Nothobranchius furzeri: one gene and its partners. The protein of the gene in region 7 purifies or fractionates together with the protein of the main gene of each other region. This does not show direct contact. Links are inferred from orthologs where the notes say so. Each region holds a gene or a part of one and is shown on either strand. Other genes may lie near its edges. The genes, in order: prpf31, eapp, snrnp200, dhx38, prpf4, ppp1caa and cd2bp2.

Region 1 (4,267 bases), about 68 Mb from region 7:
AATGGCTATTTTGTTGTTAATTTGCAGGAAATATCTAGAAGAAAGTTCTACAGAAAGTAGCTAAGGGTCCTCAGAAATGTAGCTAGCTTTGTCACTAGGCGTTAGGAACAGCGACAAAGTGGCACTGCCTCTCTCTCTGCTGCTAAAGCTACGGATAGCAAATGCTACGGGCGATGCCTGAGCGTGAACGCGCATGAAGCAGCCTGCTCGACCCGAGCATCTCTCTTTTTCTGTGATTTTACAGAAAAACAGGCAATCACAGTAAAAATGCCAGGGCTCATTCTACAGGACCAGGGCATTGCAGGAGAATGTATGAAGAAGACATTTATTATTTCTATACATGTTTTGGCTGTCAAACTTCCATAATGCCCCTTTAACATCTGAATTATTCAAAAACTTCATGCTGTTCACTCGCCAAACAGGATTCTGACAGGAAAACTCACCCCTGTGTGGTCGATGCGGTGACACTGACAACCATAATAGTTGCATTGGTCAGGATTTGCTGCAGGGTCTCATTGTTTTTACATTTATCCAGATTGTTTCCCAGTTCCTACAAAAAACACACAAATATTACTGAATGTTTTGCTAAATCTGCACACACACACACACACACACACACACACACACACACACACACACACACACACACACACACACACACACACACACACACACACACACACACACACACACACACACACACACACACACACACACACACACAAACACAAACAAAAAAAAACTAATCCGGTTTTACGTTTAAAAAGTTTGGAGATAAAATTAAAAATGTAAATAAACAGCAGAGAATTGTGTGATTTCACAAATCCTTCAGAAAATATTTATTACATTTAACCAATGACACAAATATTCAAAAAGGTGACATTTTAATGTGAAATTCAGAATCAAGACGTCAGCTCACCTTGACTGTGCGAATGTAATCTAAAGCATCTGGCACCAAAGACTCGAGCTCAGGAAACCTCTTGGAGTATTTGTCTCTTGTAAACTTGTGAATGATGTCTAAAAGTACAAAAGGAATAGAAAAATTAGATGTGTGGAATTACTCCTCACGCTTTTCTGTCACGGTTCCTCGCAGCGGAACAGCCAGCTGACTCACTGAGCTCGTTGTCGATCTCCACAGTAAGGTTGTTGGCCGCTACGATCAGCCTGTATTCTGGATCAGCCTCAACAGGACCAGAGACTAAAAACAAACACAGCAATCACTTCAGATTTGTCAGCACCGAGCTGATTTAAATGCTGTGAGGGACGCCTGAGCATTGATGAAACTCAAAGGAATCAAACTGACCGTCTGAATTTTTGCGTTGCTTTCCCACATATTCTGAAATTTTGTCCATGATGTCTGAAAACTAAAAACACACACAGTTAAGTGGGATTCTAATGTTTTATTGTACATCTCACTACACAGAAAACTCAGATGATAACCTGCTTGCTGTTGCGAAGCTTGGCGATGGACGCAACGCTTTCAGCTTTACTGTAGTCCACCTCCATCTCCTCTGGAATGTCTTCCAGCCCTGCCTGTGTCCTTCCCTGGATCCCCTCTCCATCACTGTCTCCCTCCTCCTCATCTGGATACAATCCTTCTTCTCCTTCATCTGCAGCCTCCTCCAGGTCAGCCAGGAGCTCGTCTGCTAGAGACATCTGCAAAAGAGCAGCGAATAAAAATAACAATATGAAGATGATAAATACATGAAAACAAACCAAAGTGTGTGTCTGTGTACACCCCCTTCTCATCTTAGACAGTATATTCATAACAGCACTTTTCTTCTACATTTTCACACACACACACACACACACACACACACACACACACACACACACACACACACACACACACACACACACACACACACACACACACACACACACACACACACAGAGAAAAAGAAAGAATGGTAATAAAAGCCTCATCTTAATGATGAACATCTATTTTTATTGTAGCTCTGATCTTCAGATTTTTGAACATGTTTTTCCACTAACTCCATACTTCTGTTTCTTTAATTTAAAACTTCATTAATCTTTGGAAAAATTTAATAGAAGGCGTATTTATGCCAGTAGTTACCTCTACTAAATAATCTAATTTTAATATGTAATTTGATATTTCGTTGGATTAAATCACATTATTTTAGTGAAACCAAGTAAACACTGGCACATACATGTACACAGATAGAGATAACCTGCTTTTCTAAAACACCAAATACTGTCTCATTCACTATTTCAAAAGGCTGAAAACACAAATGTACAGCAAATCACTATGTTTTACATTATTACTCATTTTAACTGATTTCTAAACATTTATACACGACCAAAATTATCTCGTGCAACCGGTAAACCTGAAACTGCTATTAAACTAAAATTATAGTTTGCTAAAGATACATTTTAAACCTCATACACAGTATTTCATTGAAATACTATTGGTAGTATACAACTTTTTGTCTCGTTTTCAGTGGCTGCATGGCATTTCATTACTTCAAGCTCTTCAAATAACATGTAAAATTGCAACACATAACATAAATATAATAATTAACACATTTTAAGATGTTTTTCTCAGCCGCGTTAACACACCAGCTGCGCTGTTAGCTAGCTAGCGGCATCAAACGTCTCCTAAACGTTTCCTGAAGCTTTATTAAAATGTTAGAACTCACCTCTGAGATTCAAATTGAGATTATTTACTCGGGGAAAAAAAACTTCAGAAGACAACTAATCTGTTTAAACACGCTGTTGCTATTTTATTTGTCCGTTTAAAGCTAATGTTGTGCTCTGCTCTTGTCGCAGATTAAATACGTAATGAGCTTCCTAAGGCCTTCTGGGAAATGAAGTCACTGGCCCATAAACTGAGAAATAGATGAAAACTAATTGCTTTATTTGCGAATACTTCGTTTTAAGATGACAAACAGTGAGATTTATATCCATGAAAACATTTTAGGTAAAATATCAACTTTTTTCTGTTTTTATTTCTTATTTCTTCTTATTTATACATCGTCCCCTTTGAAAATCATTTTAAAACAACACAAGTTTAACATTGAAACAGACTAAACAGACTTGCCGGACCTCTGCAGCATGACCAACTGTTATTAGTTAAAAAAAGAAGAATAAATTAATCAACAAATACACAAACAAATTGACTTATTTACTCATGAAAAGCTCTGATTTGTGGTGCTAAGCTACAATAATCATTATCAAACAAACAAGTAAAAAAGTGGTAAAGCTCCTGAAAATGTTGACCAAGACCGAGAGAGAGAGAGAGAGAGAGAGAGAGAGAGAGAGAGAGAGAGAGAGAGAGAGAGAGAGAGAGAGAGAGAGAGAGAGAGAGAGAGAGAGAGAGATTTCCACACAGTAAAGATCGTCATAATATATTAACAAGTAAAATTATTCGAAATACATTTTCTTCCAGCAATTAAAATGTTTGGGAAAATATTGTATTTGTTATGAAGATCTTAAGAGAATGTACAACTTGGATGCACTTTATCCCAAACTAAATAAATTTCATAAATGTTAACTACTCTAAAGCAAATAAATGAACTTATAAATAAATAAATAAATAGGTAAATTAATTAACTAATTTGCACAACTTGGTTTACAGCAAATAATTCTATCAGTATGATAAATATAAAAATAAAACAAATTTTAAAAATGCTTTTCTAAGATACAAATCCAAAGTAAAATACCTTTTTTTGCAGTCCAAGATTGCTTCTTAAAGCAAAAGCTCTAAAACAATATTGTGTCCACCTATGTTGTGATACTTGCACAAATGCTGAGGAGTATTTTCAGATACAGGAGTCAGGAAATGTCTGCTTGAAACTGCTGCCTACAAGCACGACGGACTGACTGCAAAGAAAAACGTCGTTGAGGATAAACTGGGGAAGAGTCCAAGCGTATACACAGACGGATGAACGACTAAAGAAAGTGCATCTCCCTCCCACACACCCTAAGAAAACGATTCAACAGAATGAAGGAGAAAAGAGAAGGTACGCTGGTACACAGCAAGACTCCCACTGCATAGCTGACAAAGTTGTTTCAGATTTTACAAAGCTCCAAAGTTGCTCTTTTTCCAACATAAGCTCATATTTCCAAAGACTCTGTAAACAGTGGCAGGCAGGAGCTCAGATAACTTTTCATACAAGATCCTGTCACTGGCGAAGTCCGGGAATGTGTCCAGAGTCAGCGTCTCAACGTTCTGGTCGCCTGTTCAGTAAAAAAATATCTTCTGGGTGAATGGCTGGTTGTTGGGTAAATTCACTGCCCTCTGGAG
Region 2 (4,059 bases), on a different chromosome or scaffold from region 7:
AACACGCAGCTAAAATGATGAAACTCCATTGTTCCCTTTGTGCTCTGATACATGCGTGACACTGTAAATGATATGGACCCATCTGTGATGTGTCGTGCACCCTAGGGAACATTAGTGCAACCCGTTGTGATATTGCCATACAACTTTGTTTTTGGTTCATGCTAGCTGACACAATCAACAAGAACACACAGCAGGATAGTTGTGCCTGACCTCTGACAGTCCAGGCAGAGCGTCGTCATGCAGGCGGGACAGTTGAGAACAGCATCACTGTTGGGTAAACACCGAGGTTGGCCGGATTTGGACCGGGAGGCTGCATTTGGTTGTTTTCTGCTGTTATACCTGAACAGGAACAGAAATGGGTAAACGGCCTACAAGAAGACAAAAAAAGTACTAGTGGCAGTGTTTTACAGAACTACCGTCTGGCGTCTACCCAAGCCTGGTCCCTGTCATCCTCGTCTGGGTCATACAACAGCTCATCATTGGTAGGAACTACACGCTGTCTCCGCTTCCAGCTGGTAGAGCTGCCTGTAACAAACAGGTGAAATTAACCAAAATCAAAGTGAAGATGAAGTCGTGTAAAGTGACGTCGTACTTGGTGTGTCCTCGTCCTCTGAGTCAGAATCAAAGTAAACTTCGTCATACATCGGTGGATTGGGAACACTGGAACCTCCTACGCCACCGGCACCTGCTCCTTCACCACCGCTGTCTGAACAAAGAGAAACTTCATCACCACCACTTAAACTCTCAGGAATGATTTCATAGCAGTCGCGGAGGGCCACAATGATTATTTAATCACACACAATCATTAGTTGCCACGTCCAAAACAGGACACAATTTCCTTGGTCCAACTAAACTAGTTATAATAACATTTGTTGGTGTCCTACTAGCTGCTGGTGCCCAGGTTCCCTCCATGTTCCTGATGGTGGAGCTGAGCTCCGTCTCCATTTCCTTTTCAAAGTCATCCTCACTGGACGACTCGCTCTCCCCCGTCAGATACTCTCTGATCAGCTTCTTCTTCTGCTCTGCTGTCCCGTTCAGAAGCACATCCAGCTCATCCTCTGAACTGAAACACAACCACAAGAAGAAAATAAAAAACCTCAAATGTTTGGTCTGAGATGACCAGGGATGTGTACTTTTGAAATTCTGGCGATACGATACATATCACGATACAGGGGAGACGATACGATATATCAAGATATATTGCGATACATTCAGTCAGACGTTACAAGCAATTTTTTTTACTGAATTTATTGTAAGAATGTTTAACAGTCCAAACTGATACGTAACATGTTTAACATGAGGTATCTGAACCATGATGGAGGGATTTACATTTCAATGGTGGAAACAAAACCTGTTGCACACTGCTGCAAACTAGCGGGCGGCGATTAAATTGCACAAAACGAAAAGAAAATACACAAATGTTTGCATGTAAATTCTTTCAAGAATTAGATACACGGCTTTTGAATATCGATGTAATATTGCTGGAAAAAATATCACAATATATTGCCATATCGATATTGTCTTACATCCCTAGAGATGACTGAAAATCTACCCGACAAAACAAATGAGCAGCACTGGTGCTGCATCCCTTATTTTAACTATTACTACACAAGTGATTGACAGCTGCTGTCCGTCTCCATCTTCCGTTCCCATCAAAGTTATTTAAAATAAAAACAAGTTGAGTTTATAAGCTCGTCTGTTAGTAGCGATAACCACCTTACAGCAATACCAACAAACTAAGCACAATATAAGGCTACAAACTAGCTTCTTTTGGACAAACTGTTCCCTTCACTTCCACCACGAAGAAAGAGGTGTTCCAGTGAGTAGTATGACATCACATGCAACGGGAAAATATTTCAGCCAAGTAACTCTATGAGTCCAGGTCACATAAAACAGAAACACCAGAGCAGAACAACCAGATAATGCTCGGGGCATTGTGGCCTTGGGGTCTTGGATTCAGTGGGATAAGGTCTTGAGTTCTTCTGAGAGAGTGAATCTGTTAGCGGACTGAGTATGTACTAGCATCTCTTCTCGTCGACAGTGTTTTAATAATACTGTATAAAAGTTGTGTTGAGTTTCATCTGGACCACAGTGTACAAGTCTGCTCTATTATTTTTTTAACAAGATGTACAAAACTCTCGTTCTAGTTTTGTCGTAAATTAACCCAAGAAAACGAGTTTCTAAAAGCCCGTGTGGGTTCAAACCAAGCAGCTTAAATCCATGTTCATTTCCATGGATCATAATAAACAGGCTGTTTGAACCAGTAAAGGGACGAATCACCAGTTAATTTAAAACACCAACCTCACCTTAACGCGCCTCAACGCTGTTTCAGTTGTGATCATTTTGACCCTCTTTTTTATTTTAGAACGATTGCTCACAAACAGATGTCACATAAGATAGAAGGCAACATGCTTTACTCGCGTTTATACCAACATCAATTACGTTTATGAACAGTTTGTTTACATTCGCATAGTTTTGATCAGGCTTTGATGAGCCACCTATGTCCGATGCATCCACCACACACCATTTGAGCTGATGTCTAGTTCATGTAGAACACCGGAGATGCTAGCCACGATGCTAATGTTAGAAACCGTAGTTTATTTGATCCCTACCTGCTCGCTGCCCGCTCCTCGTCACTTGGCTCTTCGACTTCATATGAGTCAAAGTCCTGTGATTTATTCAGCATGTTCATTCTGACGGCTGAAAGTTTAACTATGGGAACATAATTACTTCTACGTAGTGACAGAAAACGACTAGTTCTATGTCACCTTTCCACTTGGTGGAAAACCAACTCCAAACTACCCTAGCGCCCTCTAGTGGACTGGAGGGTTGAGGCAGTTTTTTTTTAAACTGTTTTGTCCGGGAGTCGAACTGCGTGGGTTCGATTCCTGCTCAGTGCGAATACAAAAATAGAAATGTATGCGAAATCTGCATAATAACACTAATTATTACGTAAATAATTTTTCACAATTACCACTTTAAATTTAATTATAATTGTGATGAAGAACCACTAAGCTGTGAAATATATTTGTGATAATACACATGTAAAATTATAGAATATTTATGAAAAATTACATCTGTGTTGAAATATATTTGTGATGTTATCAATGGTAAATGGCCTGTATTTGATATAGCGCCTTCTAGAGTCATGGAACCCCTCAAGGCGCTTTACAACACAATCAGTCATTCACACACACATTCACACACTGGTGGGGAAGAGCTACGATGTAGCCACAGCTGCCCTGAGGCGCACTGACAGAGGCGAGGCTGCCGAGCACTGGCGCCACCAGTCCCTCCCACCACCACCAGCAGGCAACGTGGGTTAAGTGTCTTGCCCAAGAACACAATGACAGCGACAGACTGAGCGGGACTCGAACCTGCAACCTTCCGAAAACATATGTAATAAATGTATCTGTGTCCAAGATCATAAAAACATTAAAAGATTTAAAGTGTTTTTCGTTTATATATATATATATATATACATATATAAATACATATATACATACATATATATGTATATATGTGTGTATGTACATATTTATACATATACATATATATATATATAAATATATAAATGTATGTATATATATATATATATACATATATATATATTTATATATATATATATATAAATATATAAATGTACATACATACATACATACATACATACATATATATACATATATATATATATATATATATATATATATATATATATGTATATATATATATATATATATATTTATATATATTTATATATATATACATATATATATATATATATATATATATATATATATATATATATATATACATATATATATATATATATATATATATATATATACATATATATATACATATATATATATATATATATATATATATATATATATATATGTATGTATGTATGTATGTATGTATATATGAAACAAAAGAAGAAGTCTCAAAAGTCTTTAAAAAGAAAAATCCAAAAGTAGAGAGTGCATGTATATATTAGTTAACAACAGCCTAATGCAGCAGCACACCAGCAAAAACAATGTTAACATTTCACGGCAT
Region 3 (3,928 bases), on a different chromosome or scaffold from region 7:
ATAACCTTTGCGCTGCTTACGAAAAGAGCCATCGGGCAACTGACAACGTTTGTTGGCCATGAAGTGGCTACCCTGAGTGAACGTCAAGTCTTCGAGGTCCAGAACCTGCCGAGGGACTACCGACTGTAGGATGAGAAACACAAATGTTCTCAACACACACACACTTTTACCCGGCTACCTGGACCATGTCACACTAGTTACCTCTCCATGACCAATGTCCATTGACTCCAAGTCATCAACACGAGACTTCCTCACCCTCTCCCTGCGAGATCGCTCTTCCTGAATAACAAAAACAAAATATGGAAAATCATTTCTTGCAAAGTGGTGACAAACAGTTCAAAACCAAGATGTCTTACTCTAATAATGTCCTCTTTCTCCGTCTCTTGCAGCTGGTACAGGATCTTGGACAGCTCTTGGTCAGACTCCATCTTTCCTATGATGCGTTCCTTCTCTGCTTCGCTCTGAGCGCTCGCCAGCATGGTACAATACTGAACTGTGAGTCAGACAAGATAAAAACCAGCAACTTCAAATAAGTTGTGCAACAGAACATCATAGCCCAGCGCAATTCAACGAGCGCAACTTACTCATGCGACGGTGCTGACGGAGGATTTTAATGAAATCAAAAGTGTTGAAGCCTAAAAGCAGCACCAGCTGGTTCTCACATTCCCTGTCGTCGCTGGCGGTCTGTAGAACAAGAAAGGCATCAGGTGTCAAAAGATGCTACGTTATGCTGCGTGACTAATAAAAACAGTGAAAATCCCACCTTGAGGATTTCTAAGACTTCGTCGGCTTTCTTCTGCGAGACAATAGCATCATCATAGAAGCGGCTGAGCTGACGCTGGAGCCAAAAGGCGTCAATGTCTCGAGGGTGCAGGTCTTTTTTCTTCACCGTCATCACGCCACCCGTTTCGCTAAGCTACAACAAAACAGAATTCAATTTTTAAATCAGAGAGAAGAAAACTGTGGAAATACCACCTGAACCAACAAAAAGGCTGTACTTACATTGGTTGTAAGCCTAGTGGACACAACAGCCTCCTCTCCTTCACTGTCTTCATCCGAGTGCTCATCTCGTACTTCACCAAACTGGTCTTCATCTCCTTCCTTTATATAAGTAACAAGACGGGGGGAAAAAAAATCACTTTTTCATTTTAATCAGTTTAAATACAACTAAGACATTAATAATTAAAACGTACTTCTTCATCAGACTCAAACTGGACATTGACACCGTACGTCTCATCAATGTTGTCATCTGCAGATAAATAACAAAAGATTTAGATGATTTGATAACAGCTTAAAGAGAACATGGTCACCAAATAAACGAAACACTTTATTAAGATATTTTAAAGTAGCTTACCCATATTCTGCAGGTCCTTGTCTTCACCATAGTCTGTGATCTTCTTTCCCAGATTGACCAGCACATGATAGCGCGTGTCATCAGAAGGTCCAAGAAGCTGTTCCACTTCACGACGCCTTTCTTTGTCCCTCATTTTGTCGTTCTTGAGCACCGCTAACACCTCATCAGCTGCTCCACACAGAATATCACGCGGCTGCAGACAATTGGAGTTCACATCAGCTGTGCGTTCGCCATCAACAGTGCAAAAGTCTTAAGTGTTGTGACGTTCACTAACCTGGTCTCCTAACGCAGCATGAATGAAGCTCAGCAACACTTCGTACGTCTCTCTGGTTTCTTTGGTTTTAGGCTTGTACACAATGCCCACCATCTCATCGATGCCCTCAGACAGGAGGGTAAAGCCTTTCATTTTGTTGATATCATGTCTGTCCTCATCTCTTTTACGTCTCCTGTTGTGAGATAAAACGGGATAGTTCAGATTTTTTTCCTCTAAACTGCAATCAATCTGCTGTCTCCTACAGATTAAACATATGCAGCTGTTCCACATCAAACCCCACTTCAAACAGCAAAACTACACCTTTTAAGTATATGGTGCAATTACATGCTTCACACGTTTGTTAATGACAATTAAAGGAGGATGAAGGTCAAAGACGGTTCTTTTCATTTCATTTAAATCTGAATAATTCTATTACTGTCCTAATTGAGGTATATTTCATGTTAAATGTGATCTATTCAACGTTCAAGTAAATTATAGAATGTTTTAAATTGTATAAGAATCATACACACGAAAACACCACCTGTACCTCGATTCTAACAGGTAAATGGTTTTAAAAACATCAGTGTTAGCTGCACTGACTTGTCTCGTCTCTCTTCGAGCTTCTGGGGTTTGGTCCTCTGAGCCTTGTCACCCATCTTCGTCCCCTCCATTTTCCCCACCAGGGACACCACCTCCCCGGTGGATTCATCTCTCCGAGTGCGGTCGATCAGAGAACGATCGACTTGCAGCACCAAGTTTGAGTTCTACAAACACACAATTAAATGAGACCCATCAGTTCAGCGGGCTGAGCTGCTTCGGCTCCGGCAACACGATCCACTAAACATCATAATTAGAAATCACTAGTCACAGAAACGTTTAATAACCCCGAGTTATTATATTTACACCCAACATACTTACCGCTTTGTACTCATACTGCAGGTTACGAGCAGTAACATCCGCCATGGTGCCACTTTTCCTCCGGGGTTCACCGCTCTCTGTGAACCAGCACGCGCACTAGTGAAGTTCACAGAGCTGACGTCACTCTGTACTTTTGTTAAAACGCTGTGAACATTAGTAGCGTGTTCTAATTTCAAACATTAAACCACTTTTACTCACAAACAGAAAGTAGCGTTTTTCATACGTAACAAAAGCACGGCTAGCACGAGCGCACAACAAGTGGGCAGAAATTTCCTCTTCCGGTGTCAAAGGGAATGAAACAGACACAAAAGGTAAACAGCGCCCTCTAGAGGCTTGGTGTAAATCATTCAATTTGGATGTTATTCGATATTTTTACATGTCGATGGCTAAATCTCACGAAACCCAGATGGCAAAAGTTCTGACGTTCTCTAATGAAGTACAAGTACACATTTTTGTATAAAAATGCTCTGGTAAAAGTAAAAGTATTTAGTGACCGTCTTTATTTAGTAAAAAGTAAAAAGTACAGGCTCTAAACTGTACAAAGTCAACAAACAAAAAATAGAGAAAGGGGGACAAAAAGAAGTCTTCCTCTGAATAAAAGATGTGTCATTGATGTACCACTGATTGGTCTTTCAGATGAATTTTAATGAAACCAAGAACTATATGATGACAAAATCAAAATATTTTAGAATAGAATAGAAAATGTCCTTATTGTCCCTCCGTGGGGAAATGATTGTGTCAAAGTCACAATTACTGCTGGGTTTCCTTTGATAGGAAACTTTTAACAAGTCTCAGTGGTAAACTAAATTAATTGCACTAATTATTAGGTTCAATTGGAATGTTTACTTTGTTGTGAATTGGGAATTAATAAATAAAGTTACTGAATTGAACTGGGACCGTGTGAAGTTTTACGTAAAATAAACATAGGCGTCAGTTTAACCGGGGACGCCGGGGACATGTCCCCGGCAAAATTTGTGATTGGCAGCTGTGTCCCCCCCACTTTCAAAAAAGCCTGCTGATGAGGATTTTTGTTTTACCAGCTCAGGGGTCAGCAACCTGTTCCCATCAAAGAGCCATTATTACCCGTTTCCCACAGTAAAGAAAACACCGCAGTAGCCGCAGCGTTGTGGGCGGGGCCTACCCTCAGACAGCAGAGGGCTGCTCACAACCAGGTGACAGCAGCAGGTACAGGTCGCTCGCATGGACATCGCACCCGTGGGGGATTCAACGCCCACACTTTTCCAGCTGTTTTGCTCACCTCCACACCAGTCTGGTTTCTTTATGTCGCACTCACTCTGTTTGCCTCATCTCCTTCTTCACCTCCGCTTCTAACAGCCGATGTCGGGTTTCCAGGAGAGCAGGAGAGGGAGTGACGGAAGAGCTCGACTGAATTCATAATTTTA
Region 4 (3,500 bases), on a different chromosome or scaffold from region 7:
CACAGTCACAATTCTTGTCATGTGTCTATGTATGTATGTCTGATCTCAGAATTGTGTGTTCTGAAACAATTGAATTTCCATCTGGGATTAATAAAGTATTTTTGAATTTGAATTGAACTGAATTACAAAAACTAAATGTGCAGTTTTCCATTACTTGTAGTCCACTTTGCCATCTTCCCCAACCACTTTGGCCCCAGGCTCTTCATCTTCTTTCTTCTTTATACCCATAATATCACCCAACTTGGTGCCTGCCAGTTCCCAGTGTTTGTGCTGCGCCTGAAGGCAGAAACAAAATGTTTGAATCATTTACCGATTTTAAAGGTTTCATCAAGAACAATTAGTGCAAATGTACAAGGAGAAATTTGTGGTGGTAAAAGAAGCAAAGGGTCACTGAGACTGAAAACACGTAGGGATTTAGGAGGCGGTCTCGTCTCACCTTCTTCCGTTCTTTCTGCTCTCGATGTTTCCGGACAAGCTGGCTGCCCTTTCGAGAGATGATGGCCATGTCCGAGGTGGCGTCTTTCACAGGGATGATGGGCTCTGGCTGCAGGATAATAATACACAGATGAGAGAAAAAAAAAAGTTAAAAGAAACTCTGACATTAGTATATCAGATGTGTTGGTTTGATTTAAATCCAAACTTAGTTGAATTAAATAAACTGAAGACTAAAATGTGGTTTTCACCTGTTTAGTGAAGACTATTCTTCCATCCAGGAAGGGAGGGACCAGATTGTGAACTAGCAGGTGAACCTTAGCAGCATTGTCTTCCTCAAAGTCTTCATCCACCTCCAACCTTTGCACCACGCCACTGGTCAACATCCGATTGGTCTCCCATCGCTCATTATCCTAAGAGGAAACGCAAAGCTTGTTAAAAGGTTACAGGAAGCTTGTGCAAAAAGAAACGGATAACACCGTTTGTACCTCGTTGATCTGTCGCTTCTGTGCAGAAATTCTTTTCTGAGTCTGTTTCTGGAGGATTTGCTCTCTCTTCTTCACGTACTCCTCAGAAGTTGTAGTGAAGGGGTTGTGAAACTCATCATAGCCTTCATCCATCATGTACCAATCTCTGTCAGCTTGCTGCATGAAGGAAACAAGTAAAGATCTCAACAGGAGATAGTTTACGATGAAAAACAAATGAAATGATAACGGTAACACTCACCTTCTGGTCATCCTCCCACTGTTCTTTCTCATCTTCATTGTCAAACATAATTCCTCCCTCACGTTCGCTTCTACCTAAAGGAAACACCAAGAACAAAAGGTTAAATGCTTCATTTAAATCCAACATGAGTAAAAAATATTATTTTAGATTAAATTATGACCAAGCAGTAGAAAATATAAACAAGTTTACCTTTTCCTTGGGATAAGCGAGGCGTGGAACCCAAATGTTTTCTGTCATTGGCCCACTCGTTGTACTTGTAAGATGGTGTAGGTAGGGGTGTGTCGTCAAGGTAACGGCCTTTAACTGATCTAAAATCCCAGCAGGTAAATACGACATTTTAATCACGTTTAAAAGTTTTAGTCAAATGTAAAAACACCAAAACACATTTTTATTGTTTAAAAAAAAAAGAGAGAGAGATTCAAGCATCAATGACTATTTTGTAAAAAAAAAAAAAAAAGATAATTTGCATTCTAGAGCTCATAAAAAGAAATGTTCTCAAAGAACAAAACTATAAATTACAACATTAAACACAAACAGGAATAGAACGCTTTAGGGTCATCGAGGTTAAAGGCACAGTTTAAATAACATAACAGTTACCTGTCTCTCCTCTCACTTTCTCTGCCTGAGCGATGGCTTCTCTCTGAGCGGTCTGCCTCCTTGTGAGATGGGGTCGGAGATGGGGACTCCCACTGAGAACGCCTTGAGCTGGCGTAACCGCTGTCATCTTCATCCCAGTTAGAACGGGAAGGGGTGGAGGAATCTATGCAGAAAGAAAAGAAACAAACAAGAACACAGTGTTACGATGGGCGGCCCTCGGGCCGGCTAAGAGCAAATGTTCGCCCCTGTTTCGGGATGGGGCTGCTGGTTTGGAGTCCTCTGACTGCTCCTCCCACATCAGCTGGAGTGCACAGGTGCTTCACATCCCGCTGATGAGGACGCTGAGAGAAAAGGAGCACAGAGACGCGCAGAAAAAAAATGACACGGAAGTTGGAGACGAGAGAGGTTGACGAACTCCGACCCGTTAAAAGCCAAGAGAGGGCAGATGAAGCGGCCTGAGAAACTTTCAAAGAGCGGCTGACTGCTGGAGAGGGATAGGCCGGCGAGCGGGTGGGGAGCTGACGGAGATCGTGAAAAACTTGAACATGATGGAGCCTGAGGAGCCCAACTGAGAACGAGAGGGCAGCCGAGCCGAACTATGAGACTTGATCCGAATGACCTGATCCTGATCTTTAACCGGAACCTAGCGTTTGGGGATGCGGTCCTAAGCCAGTACATGGAACGTTGTGGACGAATGAGTATACCCGGTTCATCTTAAAGCCGTTTCTGTTTTCACTGAGCTCTTCCTTCTAACTTGTCATTTCCTAAAGTCCTGAAGGAAGTTTGGTGTTATTAAGCTCACAGCATTCCTGTTTTGCTTAAAGCCAAGTCGGCCCACCCTCCTGTTGACTCTTGAACTTGAGGAACAGCCTCACGGCCCGGAAAAGGACTGGATGCTAGAAGAGAATTGTCTTTCCAACGTGATTGGTGGTTTTAAAGTGTGCGCCTTAACAATAGAGGTGTGAATCTTCACTTGTCTCCCGATTCGATTCGATTACGATTATTGGGTCAACGATTCAATTCGATTCGATATCCCGATGCATCACGATTATTTCATATTGATTTGTTTTCATCGATAAATAGAAGATGTCAGATAACTGCTTTTTATTTATTTTTATCAAAAACGTAATTGACACAACTTGCCATCCCTCAAAATCTCTCCATTCACAACAGGTTAGGACAAAACATTTTAAACATTTAAGAAGATTTAACAAAGTAAAACATCTGTTTCCTGGTTCAACACCACGCCTCAGGCTGAGAAAAACACGCTTTGCAAAAACTCACAAAATCTAAAAAAGTACTGAAAACCTACAGGACACATAATGTAATAATAAAATCCATAATGTGTTCATACATGAGTGTTTAATGTCTCTGAGCAGCTCTAGAGTCAAATATTTATGCCACAGTTCAAGGAAGTCAGAAATAACACCAAATGAAATGTTTGACTTAGTTTATTTTATTTGAACCCAGTGGTTCGTTTCTGAAATGTTGGAGAATGAATCAAGTTCTGTTTGATGCAGAAAATAATAAAACACAAAACAAATTCTACACTTCCAATATTTAAGATGTGTTTTATTCTTTCTGATAACACCAGCAGAAGGCTGTGGGCTGGATTAGGATTAAATTACCCAGCTGATGGATCTCCTTCACTAACCAGCTAACTACAAACCTTTCCACTAACCTGTCCTGTGGGACCCTCACCATGTAACCTTCATGTCCATGCTGTCTCTGGAGGAGCAGATAGG
Region 5 (4,035 bases), on a different chromosome or scaffold from region 7:
GGCTCTCATAACACCTGAGCAGTGCCACAGACTGATCGAGTCCATGCCACGCCGCATTACTGCAGTTATTGAGGCAAAAGGAGCCCCGACTAAGTATTGAGTGCTATACATGCACATTCTTTTCATGTTCATTCTTTTCAGTTGGCCAACATTAGAGAAACAAACATTTTTTCATTGGCCTTTAGAATATTCTAATTTTCTGAGATACCAGATTTGATGTTTTCATTGGTTGTCACCTATAAATATCAAAATTAAACGTAATAAACATCGGAAATACATTGGTCTGTGTGCATTGCATGAATATAATGTACAAGTTTCACGTTTTGAATGGAATTACTGAAATATTTTCAACCTTTTGATGATATTCTAATTTACTGGCCAGCACCTGTATAAGAATTATTAACATCATCAACATAAACATCAGTCCAATCAGAGCAAAACAGTTCATATTTCAGAGCTTCAATTGCAACAGAAGTTTTTTTTCTAGTTGTGGTATAATTTACATTTTCCAGAGATGTTTCATCACTTCTCATCATTTCCACCACAGTAAACACCAGTAAATGATCAGTAATATCAGTTAAAAAAGGCCATTCTTTGTCTTGACGTCAGATTGATTTATGAATATATTATCAATCGGTGTAATACTACGGCTGTTATCCTGCTTGGTCTCAGTATCAACGGAAGGAAACCTAAACTAAACATTAAATTGATAAATTCAGCTATTTTAGTATTATCATCTGATTTAAACATATCAGTATTATAATCACCACAAATTAAAGCAATTTTGTTCCTACATTGCCCAAATAATGTTTCAATACGTTCATTAAACTGATCTATAGAAGAACCAGGACTACGATACATACAACTTATAATGATGTTTCTGGATTTTTTACACTTAATTTCAATTGTCAGACACTCCATCAAATTCTCAACAATGAAGGTCATATTTGTTAGTTTCGTACAATCAAAACCAGTCCTAACAAAAAGTGCTACCCCACCCCCTCTTTGTTTTGTCTGCTCTGAGTAAACATTTCATAGCCATCCAGTTTATTCAATAACTCTTTTCCATCTTTGATCCAGGTATCTGAAATTGCAACTACTGTAAGTTTCTCCTTGAACTCATTTAGGTAATCTGAGATCTTAGATAAATTGTTGTAGAGACTTCTGCTGTTAAAGTGTATTAATGAAAATCCACACATACTCACTTTGAAGTCCTCTACAATATAATATTCACAGTCCAGGTGGGTGTTGCTGCAACCATTAATTTCTGAGTCAACTCCATTATCTATCAGATTTGATATTTTTTTTAGATTTTATGATCTACATCACTGACAAACCTAAAAAAAAATCTATTATTTCCTGATTTCTTGTAGTCTGCTGTGTCCATGAATTAAATACCATCTTCTTCTCATCATTTGAGTTTTTCCAGTTCAGAGAGGCTCTTGATGCTCACCACCATAGCCTGTTCTGGTGGTCCAGTAAGCTTGATCATTACTTTACAGTTCCTTATCCAGGTATCCTGTATTTTCCTCTCCTTCTTCAGAATTCTTGCTTGCCAGGCAATCTCTGCATTCTTCTTTGTCAGGTGCTCATTTACATACACTCCTGTGCCCTTAAGCTTCTTTACGACCTTTAACAAGTCAACTTTATGTTTCCTGCTCACAAACTGAATTATTGTTTTGTTTTTTTTTTCCAGTTTTTTTAGGAATTGTGTAGCATGCAGCTATAGTGGTGCTGTCAATAGAAATGCCCTTACTTCCAAAGAACTGAATAACTTGTTTCTCCAGTGACAAACTATTAATGGTAAATGGCCTGTATTTGATATAGCGCCTTCTGAGTCCTGCAACCCCCCAAGGCGCTTTACAACACAATCAGTCATTCACCCATTCACACACACATTCACACACTGGTGGGGATGAGCTACGATGTAGCCACAGCTGCCCTGGGGCGCACTGACGGAGGCGAGGCTGCTGAGCACAGGCGCCACCGGTCCCTCCGACCACCACCAGCAGGCAACGTGGGTTAAGTGTCTTGCCCAAGGACACAACGACAGCGACAGACTGAGCGGGGCTCGAACCTGCAACCTTCCGATTACGGGGCGAGATCTTAACTCCTGTGCCACCATCGCCCACGCAATGGTGGGTTAGGGTTAGTTCATTATTTATTAACTAACATTAACACTAATTGATAAATTTTTATTATGTTGTTTGAACCCAAGGGTCTCATTATCAGATTTTTTTAACTTGTTGGATTGATCTAAAAGTGCCCCCTTTTTTTTTTTTTTTTTTTACTTTGAGCCCCGCCCCGTCAAAGGTCTCTGCACGGCCCTGGTTTCAGTAGAACGAGCTCTACGAAAACCTGACTGCCTGGAAGCTATCATAGATGTTATGAGTGAGTTAGTAGTGAACTGGTGCTGCAACCCACACCAGTAGTGAACTGGTGCTGCAACCCACACCAGTAGTGAACTGGTGCTGTAACCGTAGCTGTGCAGAACACACACGGACCGCACGACGAAACCATAGAAGCGTTCTGATGTTCGCACGTGACTCGGAGCTAACGGCTCACGGACACGCGTGTCTAGCCGAGCACGCGCACCTGCTGTTTGGACCATAAGCGTGTTTCTCTGTTTTAAAGCTTCGTTTGTTTTGTTGTTCAAACTTACCGTAAAAACAGACGAAGCCGCAACGTCTCCTAGCACTGCAACCCGGATATGAAACTGTTGGCTTCCGGGTCAAAGCTTCTTTTTCCGGTTGGTGGATCCGTGGACTTATGGGTAATTAACCAATCTACCTGTTAGCCAGATAACCAAACAGCTGACGATCAGGACGAAGGAGAGTCTCGGTGCGTCAGGTAAAGTCACCTGGGTTCGTCACACAAACGGGTTCGGGTGGACGGAAGTAAAGTTGACATGATGTTCACAGATTCGACTTTTCCGCCTCAACAACTTCGGATGTTCTGGAACATAACGCTGTGTGGAGTCAACCCGCAACACCTGCGTTATTTAAAACCTCTGCTTGCGACGCTTTTACGTTGATGGGGTGACGGTGGCACAGGAGCCCAGAGCCCCCCCTTAACCGGAAGGTTGCAGGTTCGAAACTCATAGAGTTGCGTGTTTTCCCCATCCATGCGGGGCTTCCTTGCGGGGTTAGACGCGGTTTTCCCCCCCTACAGGCTAACTCTTGTAGGTCTGCCACATAAATCAACTTGCCCTGCTCTCCTAACATTTTTTGATAAATGTGTCTTTAATTAGGTGAATTTTTAATCTCCTCCACAGTAGGACCCTAAACCTAGTGGCGCCAAATCGTCACAGCTGATCGATACTCTTGTGCCCGGCTTGGTAAACCTTTTAGGTTAAGAAAAACTGGTTTTCTGATGTTGGGTGAATTTTTCTAACTTGAATTATCAGTAGGTCCTACACAATGCACGGTGGTGCCACCTGCTGGTGAAGGTGGAGGTTTGTCAGCAGTGGCAGAACCAACATTAGGACGAATTACTGGATGCTTTCTTTGCAGTGAGATGATAAAGCATCTGGAGGGCTTGTTAGTGACCTGAGCAGTGAGAAGCGTGATCAGTGAAACATGTAAATGAATGATAAACGACCCACGCTTGTGTAGCACCTTTCAGAGCCTGAGGACTCCAAAGCGCCTTACACTACAGTGCATCATTCATCCATTCACACGCTGGTGGAGATGAGCTACGATGTAGCTACAGCTGCCCTGGGGCACACTGACGGCCAAGGCTGTCAAGCACTGGTGCCACCGGTCCCTCCGACCACCACCAGCAGGTAAAGGTCTTGCCCAAGGACACCACGGCAGCATTCTCTGTCTGAAGCTGGGATCGAAATTGCCACCTTCGGGTTAGTGGACAACCCGCTCTACTCCTGAGCTGCTGCTGTCCATCATGTAGTTCTGAGCTGCTGATAAAATTCAGGGCTGACTACAAAATCTTGCTCATCACATATAAGGCCACTCACAACCTTGCCCCTCGTACCTCTCCCATCTCATAAAGGTTTCTACACACTCCCCAGTTGCCATC
Region 6 (2,957 bases), about 190 kb from region 7:
TAAGACTTCAGCCAATGGAGGAACATGTTGTGTAAGATTTCCTTTATGTGAGGAGAAAAAGTCTAATTAGCTCCTGGTTTATGAGCAATAACTATTAGGAGGAATAAACTCAAAATAAACAGAAAAACTATAATTTTACATTCCAGCCCCTAATTTTTACAAAAACTCACCACATATTTTTAAAGGAGCTTCCAGTTCCAGCAGGATGGGCTGGCTCAGGAAGATCTCACGGGACTTCAGGCAGAGGCCGCGGATCTCGTTCTCCGTTAGCTGAACATTCTTTCCTGGCCGAGAGCCTTTGACTGGAGGAGGAAATAGGAAAAAGAGAGATGTCACTTATTTTATGGAAGAAACATCACAAGTGACACACAGCAAAGCTTGGATTTTGAACCAGACCACCAGACTGGACGGTTAACACCTCCCACCAGCCAAATGCTGTCAAGTTCTGTTAGCGGCTCAGTCCAACAGTCATTTCAGCAGGTACTCACAACATTTAGAGGTAATATTGTTCTAGAAATGAAAGAATTAAACTCCTAACAAGTAAGTAAGAGCTTAGGGGGCACGATGAGCAGCATGTAACGGCGTGCTCAGCCTCAGAAGCGGCTTTGTTTTGCTCGTTTTGAAGTTGATGTTAAAACCGAAGCTAAAAGGCGTAAAACCACTTCCTCTTCATGTTGATGCTGCAGCAGAAATGCTGAAAACACACAAGTCAATTTCCTGATAGATAAACGCTTTCGACACATAAAATATCAGAAATGTAACTAAATAAATGACTGAAGTAAAAATGTTACTAATAAATAACATTTAGGAAAAAATGAGTGTTTTCTTTTTGTAAACATATTAATGCTTCCTCTAGAATTCTGCAGGTTTTTTCAAATGTTTGCATGTGTGTTCACACACACACACACACACACACACACACACACACACACACACACACACACACACACACACACACACACACACACACACACACACACACACACACACACACACACACACACACACACACACACACACACACACACACACACACACACACACACACACACACACACGCTGATGACATCAGACACAATAGGCACCAGGATGTCCCCTAATCTCACGGGCAGTCTGCAATTATAAAAATGACCACGTTCTAAAAATATGCTCTTAAAGAAGTCCAGATCCAGGAGCTGCAGCTGAGAACACATTTGTGCACTGCACCCTTATGCAAGCTGCTGCAGCAGCTGTGAATCACTTTAGTTCGCATAACTAACAGAATCAATAACATGAGCGGGCCGATGACAGAAAAAACAAACTTGGTTCAGCTTAGCCAACAAACCATTCCAGTATGTTAACTTTGCCTAGGAATGATTTAAACACAGATTAAATTGTCTCTTGTTGCTGTGTGAGTAGTGCTATTAAAAGTAGGAATTGCCAAATGAAAGTGGAGAAAGAGCATGATAATGGAGGGACCACAAAAGGCCGAGAAAGCAGCTATAAATACGGTGTGGCTGCTTGTTGCCTAAAACCTGGATTACAGAAGGTTAAGCCCTGGCGGAGTTTACTCCAAAGTTAGCCTCATGGCCCCCGTCATGAGGGGAGTACACAAAAGACTTTCCACTACACTGAACAAGGGGCTCAAAGCCAGAGAGCTGGACCCGTACTGCTGCAAATCTGTGGGGGTGAAATCAGCAGTTCATTCGGTTCAGCAATTGCGTCTCAATGCTTTGAATTCTGTGATGTTGCACGCTGCTAACATGCTATCAGCAACAATCCCAAGTTAGCCTAGCTTCAGATCTGCACAAGTAATCCAATTGTAGCTCCTAATTATCCAAACACTGTTAATTGGTTTGGTCTCAAAACACAGCAGCAGGGAGGTAACCTCGTTTCACGCACAGGAGAAAAAACTAAATCTAAGTTTCAATGTAGCACATGCAGCAGGGAGCTTTTCTTCAATGTCACGCAACCTCGACCGCAGCAGATACAACTGATTTACCAGGCAATATAACCATATGTACAAAAAGGGGTGTGAGTTGCATAACAGGATATAAATACTGCCACTATCGGGCTTGTTTGTCATCTCCTGTGTTTGGCAGACATTATTATCACAGTCCAAGTGCAACAATCCATGTACGGCATACTCCAGCATGTCCCTCAGTCAATGTCAAAGTCCCAGGAGGATATTTCACTGCACATGCATATTTGAGTATAATCCCAATCACATCCAACAGCTCAGCTAAGGCTAGTCATGTGGCTTTATTTACAAGAAGGTAAACAAACTGAAGGCTAAGATTACATACATCTACAGGCTTCTGGGAAAAGTATCGACCCCAAACATTAACCAGATAAAGTGTTTGCATGCTGTCACATAAAGAAGAGTGTGTGATCTTTAAGCTTATATCTGCACCCAGCTCACATTGAGAATTAGACCATAGACAAAAAAATCTCAAACTATATATATATATATATATATATATATATATATATATATATATATATATATATCAATCATGCAGGGAGAGTTCTGATTGAGGTGTTTCTAGGGGCTTCATAACCAAACCGAGACTGGCCAAAAACTCCAGAGCACCATTTCAGGAAATAGAAGTGAGCCACATCACAGCTGAGCTTCAGACGGCAGTTTTTGGAGTCTTATTTCCTGATATTTGGACATCTCTCCTTTGATTGGATAACAGCAATGCGACTCAACCACTGACTTACAACACTGATGTTTCATCTCCACAGATAACAAGCCTGAAGGAGTTCTGCTGTGTTGTGAAGTTTCTAATGCTAACGGTTCTACTAGCAAAGACGCTATTTGCAGTTTCCTGGGCGCTAATAGCAGCCTTCCCCGCAGCAAGTCATGATGGGTGAGCCCACGAATGTTAAGTGACAGTGTGACATAGATCTGTCAGGAATTTCAAATCCTAGAGTTTCACCATTTATTTTCTATCAGAAGTAGGGATGTACATAGT
Region 7 (2,747 bases):
GTCGCTGGTTGAGGCCAGCCAATAGGAGCATCGGAAAAATTCACGAATTCTTGTATATCTAGCGTCATAAGCGAGTTTTTTTAATAACTTGACACACATTCAGGAAACGGTTTAACACATTTAAAACGCAATGTTGATAAAGCGGACACTATTCCTTTCATATCGCCTCTCTGATAACTTAAAAAAGCATAAAGCTCAAGCTTAAAACCATCTAAGGACGAATTTAAATTCACATTACGAAATTAATGTGCATATTTACTGGGGAATGGTTTATTTTGGTTATTAGGCATTTTCCAACTCTGCCTAAATACTGTAATAAAATTATTCCGACAGAAAATAACTTACATTGCCCTGATTTCCCTGTGCTCATGTTTTCTAACTTTAAATGTAAACACGTTATTAAGGGCAACAATAAAATGTAAAACTGCAGTGTATATGAATAATCAGCATTTACAAGCTGTGTCCTTGCTTCAGAAAAAGAAAGAATAGAATTTCAGCAATGATGCACACAAGCCTTTTATTTAAAAACTATCTGCAGAAAACAAAGGCAGGGCTAAAATGAATGGACCAATTCTCCTCCAAACCCTGGTGTATAAACAGAGAAAATCCAAGTAAAACATGAGTGGTGACAAAATTCAAGAGGGCTGTTTTTCATCTGATGGTGTACATAATTCATGTGAAGAGGTCAAAGTCTATTCTTCTGGAGTTGTAGAACTGAGATCCGTCCTGATCCACCCTCCTGCAGTAGACGCCGCTGCTAAAATAGCCTTCATCCACCCAGCCCTGAAAACACAGCAGTAAGAAAATAAAAGCCCACTAGGTCAGACTGGGGTTAATGAGACAACCAGTCAACAATTCAATTATTTAGATTAAATGATGGAATTATTGGTATTTTGAGGAGGGAAATAAATAAAATACATGTTTAAAACATTGCATTTAAATGTATGAGGTGTTATACTTATGTTTTCTTTTAAAATATAAATGTACAAGAAAAAATAAAAAATTAAAATCAGACTACTCACTGCCTAACCCCTAATTTCCACTGAATGCATAAGCGTCGCGTAACGTAATAGAAGCATTTGACCTCCAATCTCAGTCGCTTGTCCCTTCCTACTGGGAGCGTTTCAGAAATGAAACAGCGGCAAAAACATCACCAACAGCTGAACCCACGAGATCACGAAATCACCAGAGAACTGGAAGTTCACGCAGTAACAATGAAGAGGAAAGACGGCAGCATTTGTCTGAAAAAGACCTGTGGTTTGTTTTGTGTTGGGTTTACCTCGGCTACAGAGGCATCACAACTATTTTAAACAAGCAACTGGAAATCGGCACGTGTCTTTTATTATTTTTAAAGTGTCCAGATGTTTCCCAGTGCTCCTGTGTTTGTCCTGATCTGAATGGCTGAGACTGACATGTCATGAAAGCACAGCACGAAAGCACAGTGCTAACAAAAATAAGAATGGAAGCATAAATTTAACGGAGCAACGCGTCACTACGCTTCTGGGATGCCTCAAAAACGTTGGCGCTAAGCAGTCGGTGGAAACGCACCCACTGTGACGGCGGCTATTTGCTGTGTACTACACTTCGCGGACGTTGCAGGGTGCTTTGCAGACGTTATGTGATGCTAATGTGTCAGGTGGAAAAGCCCGGTAAGTGTTCTGAATTCCTCACAGACACACAAGAATCTACATTCGTAATAAAAAGGAAAACCCTCTTAATCCACATCAGTTTGGAAGTTGGGCATTTAACACGTCAGAGCTAAAATAGTAGTAATACCTGCATCTGCTGGCTGGTGAATGGCCCATAGACCTCAGATTTTTCCTCATTTTCCCATTTGTATTCCCACATCACTTCATCACTCACTGAGAAGAAAAAGGGGAATCGAGGTAAGTAACCTTCTTCTGAACTTAATCATTTATAAGCATGAAGGAAAGAACCTTGGTTGTCATCCTCTTCTTTCTCACCAATCTTCTCATCAAACTTATCACCAAACATGTCAAGCTCATCTTCTTCCTCATCGTCACTTTTCGTCTGCCTCACTGCTGGCTTCTTGCTGGTCATGCTTTTCATCACGTAGGCCAGTTTTTCATAGCTCTGCTGATAGATTTCAAACATCCCAGATCCAACCAGCCTGTCAGCTAAAGCTGTGAGCCTATCCAGCTTTTCCGTGTCTCTTGAAGCTTCCTCTGTGGACTGGTTTTCTTCTCTCAGCTTTCCCTTCTTGCGCCCTCCAAGGCCTCCTAACCGACGGAGCGCCGCGGCGACCGTTTCTCCAGGCTGCAGCAGTTCAACAACAGCTTCAACAAGCTGCTGTTGAGTGTAGGCAGCCAACGGGTCCTCTGCAGGCATCTCCTCCTCCTCTTCATCCTCCTGGTTTGCCTGCTGTTCTTCCCTTCGTTTCTCTTCCTCTGCCTCATCTTCATCACCGACTCTGCGTTTCCGTTTGGCTGCAAGACCTTTCTTTTTCTTAATAGGCTGCTCTTTTATTTTCACCTGCAAGAAAACAGATACTTCACTTACTGCAAAATGCAGAGCTTCCATTAAATAATCATTTGTCTGAGAATGCAATTACCCAGTCTATGTTGTCGAGCCAGTTGTCTCTAATTTGTGTTTCCTTTTTGATGAAATAGTTTCCCTCTGAATCAAAGTGGCCTTCCTGCATCTCCTCTTCCAGGTTGAAAGGTGTAATAGAAACTCCTTCGTCAAAGTCAATAGTCGCTCCTTCTTGGCCTGGAAACAAAGGTGGC

The links.
Region 1: the proteins of cd2bp2 (region 7) and prpf31 fractionate together in Homo sapiens (co-fractionation; 3 studies listed by BioGRID, with this or other methods). This does not show direct contact. The link is inferred for Nothobranchius furzeri from reciprocal best matches to the Homo sapiens genes CD2BP2 and PRPF31.
Region 2: the proteins of cd2bp2 (region 7) and eapp purify together in Homo sapiens (affinity purification with mass spectrometry; 3 studies listed by BioGRID and IntAct, counting the BioPlex papers as one, with this or other methods). This does not show direct contact. The link is inferred for Nothobranchius furzeri from reciprocal best matches to the Homo sapiens genes CD2BP2 and EAPP.
Region 3: the proteins of cd2bp2 (region 7) and snrnp200 purify together in Homo sapiens (affinity purification with mass spectrometry; 8 studies listed by BioGRID and IntAct, counting the BioPlex papers as one, with this or other methods). This does not show direct contact. The link is inferred for Nothobranchius furzeri from reciprocal best matches to the Homo sapiens genes CD2BP2 and SNRNP200.
Region 4: the proteins of cd2bp2 (region 7) and dhx38 purify together in Homo sapiens (affinity purification with mass spectrometry; 3 studies listed by BioGRID and IntAct, counting the BioPlex papers as one, with this or other methods). This does not show direct contact. The link is inferred for Nothobranchius furzeri from reciprocal best matches to the Homo sapiens genes CD2BP2 and DHX38.
Region 5: the proteins of cd2bp2 (region 7) and prpf4 purify together in Homo sapiens (affinity purification with mass spectrometry; 3 studies listed by BioGRID and IntAct, with this or other methods). This does not show direct contact. The link is inferred for Nothobranchius furzeri from reciprocal best matches to the Homo sapiens genes CD2BP2 and PRPF4.
Region 6: the proteins of cd2bp2 (region 7) and ppp1caa purify together in Homo sapiens (affinity purification with mass spectrometry; 3 studies listed by BioGRID and IntAct, with this or other methods). This does not show direct contact. The link is inferred for Nothobranchius furzeri from reciprocal best matches to the Homo sapiens genes CD2BP2 and PPP1CA.

What each region holds. Positions count from the first base shown.
Region 1 is NC_091745.1:76,608,082-76,612,348, forward strand, and holds the start of prpf31 (U4/U6 small nuclear ribonucleoprotein Prp31), read right to left. Parts: upstream 2,801-4,267; 5' UTR 2,661-2,800; intron 1,657-2,660; coding exon 1,441-1,656; intron 1,365-1,440; coding exon 1,304-1,364; intron 1,199-1,303; coding exon 1,115-1,198; intron 1,018-1,114; coding exon 920-1,017; intron 551-919; coding exon 444-550; intron 1-443. UniProt on the Homo sapiens protein: Involved in pre-mRNA splicing as component of the spliceosome. Required for the assembly of the U4/U5/U6 tri-snRNP complex, one of the building blocks of the spliceosome.
Region 2 is NC_091758.1:7,754,136-7,758,194, forward strand, and holds the start of eapp (E2F-associated phosphoprotein), read right to left. Parts: upstream 2,801-4,059; 5' UTR 2,693-2,800; coding exon 2,613-2,692; intron 1,064-2,612; coding exon 885-1,063; intron 707-884; coding exon 593-706; intron 526-592; coding exon 417-525; intron 340-416; coding exon 211-339; intron 1-210. UniProt on the Homo sapiens protein: May play an important role in the fine-tuning of both major E2F1 activities, the regulation of the cell-cycle and the induction of apoptosis. Promotes S-phase entry, and inhibits p14(ARP) expression.
Region 3 is NC_091757.1:37,093,742-37,097,669, reverse strand, and holds the start of snrnp200 (U5 small nuclear ribonucleoprotein 200 kDa helicase), read right to left. Parts: upstream 2,801-3,928; 5' UTR 2,571-2,800; coding exon 2,526-2,570; intron 2,372-2,525; coding exon 2,208-2,371; intron 1,801-2,207; coding exon 1,629-1,800; intron 1,548-1,628; coding exon 1,355-1,547; intron 1,250-1,354; coding exon 1,194-1,249; intron 1,102-1,193; coding exon 1,003-1,101; intron 917-1,002; coding exon 764-916; intron 685-763; coding exon 585-684; intron 494-584; coding exon 357-493; intron 280-356; coding exon 202-279; intron 124-201; coding exon 1-123. UniProt on the Homo sapiens protein: Catalyzes the ATP-dependent unwinding of U4/U6 RNA duplices, an essential step in the assembly of a catalytically active spliceosome. Plays a role in pre-mRNA splicing as a core component of precatalytic, catalytic and postcatalytic spliceosomal complexes.
Region 4 is NC_091749.1:58,498,376-58,501,875, reverse strand, and holds part of dhx38 (pre-mRNA-splicing factor ATP-dependent RNA helicase PRP16), read right to left. Parts: intron 1,919-3,500; coding exon 1,756-1,918; intron 1,467-1,755; coding exon 1,348-1,466; intron 1,233-1,347; coding exon 1,159-1,232; intron 1,077-1,158; coding exon 921-1,076; intron 846-920; coding exon 684-845; intron 545-683; coding exon 437-544; intron 277-436; coding exon 155-276; intron 1-154. UniProt on the Homo sapiens protein: Probable ATP-binding RNA helicase. Involved in pre-mRNA splicing as component of the spliceosome.
Region 5 is NC_091746.1:69,563,499-69,567,533, forward strand, and holds the start of prpf4 (U4/U6 small nuclear ribonucleoprotein Prp4), read right to left. Parts: upstream 2,801-4,035; 5' UTR 2,663-2,800; intron 1-2,662. UniProt on the Homo sapiens protein: Plays a role in pre-mRNA splicing as component of the U4/U6-U5 tri-snRNP complex that is involved in spliceosome assembly, and as component of the precatalytic spliceosome (spliceosome B complex).
Region 6 is NC_091745.1:8,625,255-8,628,211, forward strand, and holds part of ppp1caa (protein phosphatase 1, catalytic subunit, alpha isozyme a), read right to left. Parts: intron 303-2,957; coding exon 171-302; intron 1-170. UniProt on the Homo sapiens protein: Protein phosphatase that associates with over 200 regulatory proteins to form highly specific holoenzymes which dephosphorylate hundreds of biological targets.
Region 7 is NC_091745.1:8,817,564-8,820,310, forward strand, and holds the end of cd2bp2 (CD2 antigen cytoplasmic tail-binding protein 2), read right to left. Parts: intron 2,731-2,747; coding exon 2,573-2,730; intron 2,494-2,572; coding exon 1,938-2,493; intron 1,863-1,937; coding exon 1,777-1,862; intron 784-1,776; coding exon 673-783; 3' UTR 501-672; downstream 1-500. UniProt on the Homo sapiens protein: Involved in pre-mRNA splicing as component of the U5 snRNP complex that is involved in spliceosome assembly.